Linked DNA regions of Oryza sativa Japonica Group. The protein of the gene in region 2 interacts with the protein of the main gene of each other region in a pairwise test. Links are inferred from orthologs where the notes say so. Each region holds a gene or a part of one and is shown on either strand. Other genes may lie near its edges.

Evidence for each region.
Region 1: the proteins of two-component response regulator-like PRR1 (region 2) and transcription factor PHYTOCHROME INTERACTING FACTOR-LIKE 13-like interact in a two-hybrid assay, tested with the Arabidopsis thaliana proteins (3 studies listed by BioGRID). The link is inferred for Oryza sativa Japonica Group from reciprocal best matches to the Arabidopsis thaliana genes TOC1 and PIL6.

What each region holds. Positions count from the first base shown.
Region 1 is NC_089037.1:33,401,526-33,406,682, forward strand, and holds the start of transcription factor PHYTOCHROME INTERACTING FACTOR-LIKE 13-like, read left to right. Parts: upstream 1-1,951; 5' UTR 1,952-2,420; coding exon 2,421-2,699; intron 2,700-2,820; coding exon 2,821-2,967; intron 2,968-3,089; coding exon 3,090-3,172; intron 3,173-3,278; coding exon 3,279-3,852; intron 3,853-3,937; coding exon 3,938-4,039; intron 4,040-4,116; coding exon 4,117-4,182; exon of another isoform or gene 4,183-4,254; intron 4,255-4,363; coding exon 4,364-4,429; intron 4,430-4,521; coding exon 4,522-4,809; intron 4,810-4,889; coding exon 4,890-5,012; 3' UTR 5,013-5,027; intron 5,028-5,157. UniProt on the Arabidopsis thaliana protein: Transcription factor acting negatively in the phytochrome B signaling pathway to promote the shade-avoidance response. Regulates PHYB abundance at the post-transcriptional level, possibly via the ubiquitin-proteasome pathway.
Region 2 is NC_089036.1:25,050,102-25,055,481, forward strand, and holds two-component response regulator-like PRR1, read left to right. Parts: upstream 1-1,916; 5' UTR 1,917-2,542; coding exon 2,543-2,702; intron 2,703-2,833; coding exon 2,834-2,995; intron 2,996-3,079; coding exon 3,080-3,213; intron 3,214-3,337; coding exon 3,338-3,505; intron 3,506-3,710; coding exon 3,711-3,792; intron 3,793-3,891; coding exon 3,892-4,742; 3' UTR 4,743-5,014; downstream 5,015-5,380. Other genes in the region: glutaredoxin-C4, chloroplastic, read left to right, coding at 269-367, 556-635. UniProt on the Arabidopsis thaliana protein: Controls photoperiodic flowering response. Component of the circadian clock. Expression of several members of the ARR-like family is controlled by circadian rhythm.

The sequences.
Region 1 (5,157 bases), on a different chromosome or scaffold from region 2:
TTTTTATATTATAGTAATTATCATATCTACTCCAATATATATGATCCATTTCTTTATTTGACCCATAGTTTGAGCATCATCAACTCCTCAACCAAATCAGTATAAATTGAGTGTATGGTTAAATGGGAGATAAATTGTAATATGATTACTTAGTGTGACATTTGAATTTATTTCCAATATTATATAGTAAAACTAGAGCCAAATCTTAATAAAATAAAATTTGCAAGCAAAATTTTCTTTGGACCTTAGTGACCACATCCTATGGATGAGATGTTGCTGTCAGCAAAGAGCTTAAGCTATCTTAGTTCTTTGTCTTCACAAGAATGGGGACACCCTGCAGATCTTCTCTGAAGATGAGAAGGCACTGCCCTGTAATCTACATCTGAGCTCCCATTGGCTCAAACTCACCTGGCTCAAGATCACAACAGCACAGCCTGCATCCCAAGAAGAAAAAGAAAACTTCTTTTTTTTTCTCATCACAAGATCACAAAACTGCAGAAAGGAACAGGGAATGGAAAACGTCAGAATGGAATGATCCAGAGGGGCTAGACTAGTAGTAGTAGCTAGATAACCCCAAGCCGAGCTAGCAATGATCCAAATCCCACAGTTGCTTTCCTATGGCTTTGGATGTTGGGGGCACATTTCGTTTTCAGATTATGCCCAGATGCAAGTAGAGCACATGTCGTTTCAAATTATTCCGAAATATTACTGTCTTGAAAGAGATGCTAACTTCGCATTGCTCCAAAGGAATCGTATGCTCCTGTGTTTCGTTTCAGAAATAAAGAAATTTTGGTTTTTTGGCGCACCGTTTTCAGATTCTTTGAACTGGTATGATTGGAATGATTTTGCAGCCGATTCCAAGGGAACAAAACTAACCACTTCTTGTCAAATTAAAACTTGCACTTAACCAATACAATCATGAGAGTGATGACATGTTTTTTTTTGGGTGATTTCAGAAACAGAACCGTCAGGGTCACTGTTGGTGAGTTTGGTCTCATATGATGAAGTAAGCTGAATTGAAGAAGGGAGAATCATTTCTGGTCATTGCCCTGCCCCCCATAGAAAGAATTTTATGCGTATCTCCAATGCTAGTGGTGGGCAATACTTGGCATGGTATCCATCAAGGCATCAAGCACCATTGCTCATCAATTTTCATAAAAACATATTTATCAACTACATACTACCTTTCTAAAACAAACACTAAAAATATGCTTTGACTCTCAAAAAGGTTTCAAAGAACATTTTATCTAAGGATCGTTCCTATGCTTCACCGAAACTATATAGCTAGACAACATACAAAATTAGCTAAGGTGGAGCTGGTATACAAGGCCTGCGTAGAGGTCGGATTTAATCCATTGTCTTAAAAAAAGTATACAATGCCTTGTTATTAAAAAGTAAAAAGACATGGGAGATCCTAATATATAATGTTTTGTAAATATTTCTTCAAGATTTGTTTATGGTTTAGTAAAACTCCTCGGGAAATTCCAACAATATTTTGGGAAGATACCTTGACTAAGAAAAAAAATCCCCAAAGAACAAAAAAACACTCTACCTCAGGCTGTCAAAAACATGCCAGGATGGGCAATGTGATGAATAGTCCTATTGAGGTCTCTTTCTGTAGAGAAACTATCGAAAAACTAAATTTATGGCTTGGAGCAAACTCAGTTCAGAGTCATCAATTATATGTTTATCGCAACAGTGAGATGGGACCAACATCAGAAAGGAGAGAAGATTTCCTGTCCAATCTGTTTACATGGCATTGATGCACAACAATGTTCCCAAATAAACCAGACTCTATGGCATCAACAAATACCTCCAAAAATTACTTACTAGCATTTTTCCAATGCTTCCTGTGTAGGGGTCTGAATTTGACCAAAGATAACCAATGGAATCAACAGGCTGGTGCAGATAATTAGCTACCTGTTTAATAGATCATCTTGATCATTTTTTTGCAAAGAATTAACTACCCCAGCTAGATCCACATCAGTCAAATTATAATCCAGTATGAATAAAGTATATTACTACGACATCAACATGCATATGATGCATTGATGCATACAGTGATACAGGCTTACAACATCAGTTACATACTCTTAGGCTGTGTTTAGTTTCTAAAATTGGGGAGAAGTTTGGAGAAAGTTGGTAGTTTGAAAAAAAAGTTAGGAGTTTATGTGAGTAGAAAAGTTTTGGATACGATGAAAAGTTGGTAGTTTGGGGAAGTTTGGTGTGAAGTTAAACAGGCCTAGATAGGAGAAGAAAGTACAGAAGCAGAAACCATTAGTTTACAGAGCCCTAAGCTTGCAGCAGCAGCAGCAGCAGAAGTAGCAGAGAAGTGGGAGAGCGATGTATCCATTCCTGCAAATCCAAGTTGGCAATTCCGAGGGCCGACATATATCCCACTCCAAGGAGATCCGACAACGATGCCCAACCCAAGCAGCTTGCTTGCATCTCCATCTCCTCCTCATCGGAACTCCTCCTCCTCCTCCTCCATCTCCATTATTTCCACCCCGGCAACAATCCAACCGGACGCAGCCCACGGGCCTTGTTCCCTTCTCACCACCTCCAAGTACGCTTTGCGGGACACTCGCGGCAGCAAGAGTTCGTATACTCGCCTCTGCTGCTGCTGCACTGCCGCGCCTAAAGCTGAGCAAGAAGAGGAGACTTTGCAGCAAGAGTTGCTACTGTTTGGTTTGGTTCAGGTGAGAGAGGTCAACAATAGCTGTTGGCGTGGCTAGTTGCTTGTGCAGAAAAGGATTCTCTTTTGGTTTTGCCCTTTCTGAGAAGCTGATGATGATGTGGTGGTGGGCTATGGTTGTGCAGGTTGGGGAGCTACTAGAAGAAGGAGGAATAGCTAGGTTGGGTAGCTCAGCTTTGCTCTCCTTTTATTTTTTATTTTTTTTTCTGTTTGTTCCAAGGTTTCTTGCATCACTTTGCGGCTTATCTTGTTGGTTTTCCTTCTATTTTAAGGTGTAAAGTTTGTCTCCTTGTCTTGGTTGTGCTTGCTGTTCTTGTTTGTTTCAACCAACTTGTGCAGTTATACTTGATGCTTAATGCTTCTTTTTTTTTCTTTTTCTATGTGGTTTATGCAGGTTGTGAATTTCTTGGGGGGACACAAGAATCGTGGGATGGATGGCAATGCGAGATCGGCGGCGAATCAGACGAAGCAAATCGTGTAGAGATTTCATCTGAAACCCAAGAACGGATTCGTCTTGTGTTGTTGCCGAATGGTAGTGACCTGACCTGACTCTGTGTGCATTTGCTCCAATGGCGATTTGCAGCACGGACAACGAGCTGGTGGAGCTGCTATGGCACAACGGCGGCGTCGTGGCGCAGCCGCAGGCGGCGCAGGCGAGGGTCGTCTCCTCCTCCGGCCGCGGCCAGAGCGCCAGCGTGCTCACCGGCGACGACACGGAGACCGCCGCGTGGTTCCCGGACACCCTCGACGACGCGCTGGAGAAGGACCTCTACACGCAGCTCTGGCGCAGCGTCACCGGCGACGCGTTCCCGGCGGCCGCGGCGGCGGGGCCGAGCTCTCACCACGCTCCGCCGCCGGACTTGCCGCCCCCGGCGGCGAGGCCGCCGATGAGGAGCGGCATCGGGTCGAGCTGGACCGGCGACATCTGTTCGGCCTTCTGCGGCAGCAACCACATCCCGGAGACGGCGGCGCAGCGCTGCCGGGACGCCGGCGCGGCATTGCCGCCGGAGCGGCCGCGCCGGTCGAGCACCCACGACGGCGCCGGCACGTCGTCGTCGGGCGGCTCCGGCAGCAACTTCGGCGCTTCCGGCTTGCCCAGCGAGAGCGCCAGTGCCCACAAGAGGAAAGGCAGAGAAGATTCAGACAGTCGCAGTGAGGTGATCTTTTTTTTTTCGTTGGCTGTAACCTGCAACTTGCTATGCTTGAGATGAATTCTTGAATGAAACTGATGAGAAATTTCAGGATGCTGAATGCGAGGCAACCGAAGAGACCAAATCGTCGTCGCGGCGATATGGATCAAAGAGGAGAACTCGTGCAGCTGAAGTTCATAACCTGTCAGAGAGGGTGAGATCATCAAATACAGCTACTGATCTTAAGAGATAAATTTTTAGTAGTCATCCTAAAAGATGATACTGATGTAGAGAAGAAGGGATCGGATCAACGAGAAGATGCGCGCATTGCAAGAACTCATACCTCATTGCAACAAGGTAAGAAACATTATTATATATGCATCTTTTTTCTGATCAGGTGCAAGTCCATGGACTGATACAGCTATGTTGGTGAGTGGTGGCATATCTGATCTATCCTTTGTTGATATGATTCTCTTTTTTATTCAAACCTTTTGGGTTTACTTTACTAACTGCAGTTATCTATATATTTTTCAATTAGACCGACAAGGCATCTATATTAGATGAAGCAATCGAGTATCTGAAGTCACTCCAAATGCAAGTTCAGGTTTGAACTACTGTTTCTTGTATCTGAACTTACATGGTCCTACATGAGGCCAATTACTAGCACAGATTGAGATTGTCGAATCTGTGCCTCAGATCATGTGGATGACTACTGGGATGGCACCAATGATGTTCCCTGGTGCTCACCAGTTCATGCCACCAATGGCCGTGGGCATGAATTCTGCGTGCATGCCTGCGGCACAAGGCCTAAGTCACATGTCAAGATTGCCATACATGAACCATTCTATGCCAAATCACATCCCTCTAAATTCATCTCCAGCTATGAACCCAATGAATGTTGCAAACCAGATGCAGAACATTCAACTGAGAGAGGCAAGCAATCCCTTCCTTCACCCAGATGGCTGGCAAACAGTGCCACCACAGGTACAAAAATACCATACTGACAAAGGGAATTTTCAGGCCTCTTTGATTGTTCACCTAGATTAGGCATTGGTCATTTGCAGGTATCAGGACCATATGCTTCTGGGCCTCAAGTAGCACAGCAAAACCAGATACCGAAAGCGTCAGCTAGCACTGTTCTGCCAAATTCTGGGGCTGAACAACCACCAACCTCTGATGGAATTTAGAATGACCAGAAACATGTAAGCACTTGCACCAATCAGTACATCTGCCTATTTACTTCAAATGATGTTGAGATAACTAGAGCTGCGTATCGCTACTTGTATGTATTACTATTGTTTTCAGCCAATATATCTGTATTGAACACGATCG
Region 2 (5,380 bases):
GAGAAGAAAAAAAAAGAGAAATGCATTTGCAAAATTCTGACAAATAGTGCATAAAAGAGAACTAAACAACCGAACAGAGAAGAAACTACAGGGACCCACTTATAGCTCTGATACATCAACACTCAGTAGGGAGGACTAGATCGACGTTAAAACAGTGTAGAAAAAAGATCATATATTATTACATGAGTCAATTTTAGAATGTCCTGGCTATTCTTTAGTTCATACATTGTAATTTATCATTGAACTAATTCATCCTCATAATACGAAGGTGATGGGTCTGAGCTGCAGTCAGCTCTTGCCGATTGGACTGGACAGAGAACTGTTCCTTGTGTCTTCATTAAAGGGAAACATATTGGTGGCTGTGACGGTGAGTTCCTTGTTCTTAATTTGTCGTGAACTTGTGATACTAATGTCATCGGACCAACAACATTTTCATGCATTTTTATCGCTGTTTAACTTTTTTCTGAACAAGAAAATCGCTAGAACAAGGGTCACTTAGGCCAGAGTTTTTCTACACTATTTTAACGTCGATCTTCATTGATGTCTTTCAAACAGATACCATGGCGATGCACAAAGGAGGGAACTTGGTCCCTCTGCTGACGGAGGCAGGAGCAATCGCCACTCCTTCCCTGTAGATAAATACCTTTGCCAAAACGTGTTTGTGGTGTGTCAATGTCATAGAATAAAGGCGAATATATATGGGGACTTCCACTGTCAGAACAACTTATTGCTGATAGTAGTAGCTTTGGGTGACTTTCAAGCCTGTATGCAGCACTACTCTAGCTAATAACTCATTTTGTATGATTTCATTGGTAGCAATAAATATGATTAGTGCGTCCTGTGAATGAGACTGATGACATCGGCACTCCAAGCTCCTGCTACTGGCTGCCAGCCTGCCTCCAGATTTTTGAGATCGAGATGTTGTTGTGTCGTCACTGATACCAACCATCCACTCCTCTCGGTGGAAGAAATACAGCCAGTGAACTGGAGGAAACACCCTTCGTCAAAATGATTGTTTTGCCTGGCCATAGTTCAGAGCTGCAATCAAAAATCTTGGTTGTGTTTACCATTCTGCTGAATTACTGAATTACAGCGCTGGTAACAGATCAGTAAACAAACGACAGCGCTGTTAACGCTAAACCCATTTTGCAGCATCGCTGATTTGCTGCCGGAGCCCGGAGGCCACCACGTACATCGCCAGTGGCAAACAAGAAAAGCAAAGCTACAGAAAAAGCGCTAGGCCGGCGCCACGAGCCGCCACCACAAGTCCACGACCAGTCGCTCTCCGGATCGGCGTAGTGGCAATGGGCATCCCAAGTTGCCAACACGGGGAAAAAAAAAACACCCCCCATCCAGCTGCTGCTCTCTACCGGCCACTCGTCTCGTCCGGTAGCTCAAAATCTTTTACTCATCAGCCCAGCCACCACCGTATCGCCATGCTGCCCATCAAGGTCTGTACTACGTGAAAACGTGAGAGCCGCGTTTCCCTCTGGATTTTTCTCCGCCTTGGCACGTCCGCGGTGGGCTGGCGCGGCTTTCGTCGTGATCCGCAACGGAGGGCGGGGACGCGGCCACCGTGGACGCCGCCGCACGTACGTGGGCGTGGCGCTCCCACTCCCACGGCACCACCACGGCACCACCTCCCTCCGCCTCTCGCGTCGTCGTTTCCACAGTACTACTACAGTAGCGCGTCTCCCTGGCGTTCGTTCGCTGGCCCCCAGCTCGCGCGCGTGGCGGCTCCCGTATCGCACGGCCACGGCCCCACCACGCCCGCCGCCCCTAATCGCATCCGCGATTAAGATATTTCCGTGCCAGGTAGGCGTAGATATTTTCTCACCGAAATCACACGCCGCCAGGCCGGGCCCATCTGGCTTAACCACGCCCGGCTCTTCCCCTCCATCCAACCTGGCCCTCCCACCCACGGGGCCGCGGCTCGCGGCTCGTCCCGTCCCGTCCCGTGACGAATCCATTGACACCGGCACACGCACACGCACACCCGCACCGCGCGACGCGAGTACGCGACACAAACCGCTCGCGACGAGCCGTTTCGTTTATTTTTACACCGCCCCGGCGCGGCGTGACGAGGCCTTTTCTTCTTTCTTTCATCTCTCGCCGAGCCGAGCCGAGCCGAGCCGCGTGCCCCACCGAGAGAGGAAAGCAAAAGGTAGGGGGAGGAAAATATCCTGTGCCAGTAGAGCGGACACCAACGCCGCCACCACCACCGCCGCCGCCTCCTGAATAGATTAGGCGCGGATAATGGTGCGGGCCGGACCGCAACGCGCGGCGGAGGAGGACGCCGCCGGCGTCGGCGGCGGGTGGCGGCGGTAGCACACTGCTTAGCCTCTGGGGGCGATACTACTGGCGACGGCACGGGATATGGAGGAGGAGGCGCCGCCCGCAGATCCAACAACCGCTTCGTCCTCCTGCGTCGTCTAGTCTAGGCGCCGGCAGCTGCTGCTGGCTGCTGTGCTGTTCGTGCTGATTCGGACGCGTCGGCAGCTGGTGACAAGTGGCTAGGGGGGGAATCCGTGCGGGTCGGGGTATGGTGGGCGCCGGCGAGGGGGATCGCGTTGGCGGCGGGGCGGCGGTAGGGGGAGGGCAGCAGTTCGTGGACCGGAGCAAGGTGAGGATTCTGCTCTGCGACAGCGACCCAAGTAGCTCACGGGAGGTGCTCCGCCTCCTCTGCAACTGCTCATACCAAGGTCAGTTCAGCTTTGTCTGCTTAGTATTTGGTTTGCTCTTATAATTAAGGATTAAGATTGCTTTAGTAGATGAATTAGCAGTTCTATCACACCTTCTCGCATGGAATGATACGTCTTTGTTTTTGTTTCAGTGACTTGCGCCAAGTCTCCGAGGCAGGTGATCAACGTACTCAACTGCGAGGCGGGGGAGATCGACATCATCTTGGCCGAGGTCGATCTGCCCGTCTCCAAGTGCTTCAAGATGCTCAAATACATCGCCAGGAACAAGGAATTGCGCCACATCCCCATCATAAGTAAGCTGTCCTCCTATTCCTCTGATGCCCATGCTCGTAGGGTTGTTGTAGTGACCATCCTCATCTTTGATGCGAATTATGCAGTGATGTCCAACAGAGACGAGGTCTCTGTTGTTGTCAAGTGCTTGCGTCTCGGGGCAGCCGAGTACCTGGTCAAGCCACTGCGCATGAACGAGCTGCTGAACCTCTGGACCCATGTGTGGCGGCGAAGGCGGATGGTAAAGGGGACTATGTTGATTCATCTTCAAATTCTGTGTTGAAAAGCATGCTCTAAGCTGAGATGGCTGTGGCGTTGCTGTAGCGTGTATGAGTTGATCTTAAGTTGAATGTTGGTGTTGGCAGCTTGGTTTGTCGGAGAAAAACTTCTTCAATGACAATTTCGAGTTGGCGTTATCGGAACCTAGTGACGCCAATACCAACAGCACCACTCTTCTCTCGGATGACACAGATGATAAGCCAAAAGAAAACATTAATCAAGAAACAAGCACCTCGAATCAACATGAATATGAGGTAACCAATCAAGTACTAGTTATCCTTTTATATTTTGCTGTCCAACATACTACTTCTCTATTTAGTATCTTTCTACCTTTGTGTTCTGTTTAGATGCTAGAGCATGCCTTTTTGCCTCATATGTTCAATTGATGATGATAAGATGCTGAATTTTTTGCATCAGTCTACTTGTTAAATGCCCTTGCATTTCTTGATATGTTTGCAGTCTAATCCTTCTGATGCTGAGCCTAAACAAAAAGGCACACCAGAGGGTTTACTAGTCTCTACTGAAGGCGGCGACCAAGCTTGTAAGTATCTTGAGCCTTAAACCATTTCCTTTAGCTGATTTAGCAGATCCCCCAATTGAAGAATAGTTTCTAAGGTTTATGCCTTTGCTTTTATGCCAGCATCTCCCGGAGTAATGTTTTCACGTCCAATAAAGACTAACTTGAGGGTTGCTGAGTCTTCTGCTTTTCTAGCTTATGTTAAGTCAAGCACCCCAACTACCAGCTCATTTGACAGCGAACTACAAAAAGGTGGAAATCGGTTAGACTCTTCGGATCACAGGGGTAATTTCTCTAGTACAACTGACAGAAGTGACACTGGCACTGATGTAAATATTCGGGATAAAGAAGCCTTTGAGATGCCAGTGCAATACCCTGTGGTATGCTTTTCTTCCTCTAACTTGCATCTGGAGCGAAGCAATGAAGGCCAAAATGATGCTTCAGGAACTCCTCCTGTATATCATTTTCCCTTTTATTACCCAGGGATGATGGACCACGGTATGACACATCCTCCGGTGCAAAATTTCCAAGGGAACATAAACAACGCTCAAGTGCATACACCACAAACGTTGCTCCCTCAGTATAATGTTTATCCCCAATGTCATGGTGTATCTATGATGCCACCATTTCAGTATAATCCTGCTGGTATGAGCATTCAATCAAATCAACTGCCAACACAAAATATGTGGCCACAGGCATCAAGCACACCAATGCCCGAGGAAACATGTAGTCGGTCTGAACGGAGAGCTGCAGCACTTGCCAAATTCAGGCTGAAAAGGAAGGAACGTTGTTTTGACAAGAAGGTGAGGTACGTGAATAGGAAGAAACTTGCTGAAACAAGGCCGAGGGTGCGAGGGCAATTTGTTAGACAGGCAAACTATACAGATATAACCAGCACTGGAGATGATATCTCAGAAGATGAAGATGATGATCCATCCTCCAGGGAGGTAGAGATGGTTTCTTCTCCAGAGTAGTTTGAAAGGTTTTCCTATATGTAAAATAGAGTGCAGATGATTACTGCTCACTTTGCAACTCATTAGATGTAGGCAATACATTTCTTCTGCTTTTAACTAGGCAATACATCCACTCGCTCACACACAATACATCCTTTTTGTCCCCCAAGGAACTTGTGGCATATCCATCACTGTTACTATGGACGTTTTGGAGAAAATCATCTTTGAAGGTGAGATGTAATTATGCTAGTTAGTGATGCATAGGCCAGTCTAGATCGTAACCATCTTGTTTCAGAATCTTATAGGACTTTACTCAGTGCTCCTTCTTAGACACGTTTTTACTTCCATTTTCTCGATGTTGGAGGCTGTCCATGTTTGAACATCGTGTTCTACCACAGAAGTCGATTTTGGAGGTTGTACATGTTTGAACTTTGTGTTCTATCACAGAAGTTTGCGAGCACCATTGAAAACAAGGACACTAGCGACCTGACCTACCGTACTGTTCTGAGTAGTGCCAATATTTCTAGGAAATTGTCCCTTTCTAAGGACAATTTCGTTTTTCCCCCCACTTTCATCTTCAATATTGATTTTGCCCCTATCAAAAACTTTACTGCTAATCCATGTATATTCGTGACAAATGTCGACTATATATTTTGTAG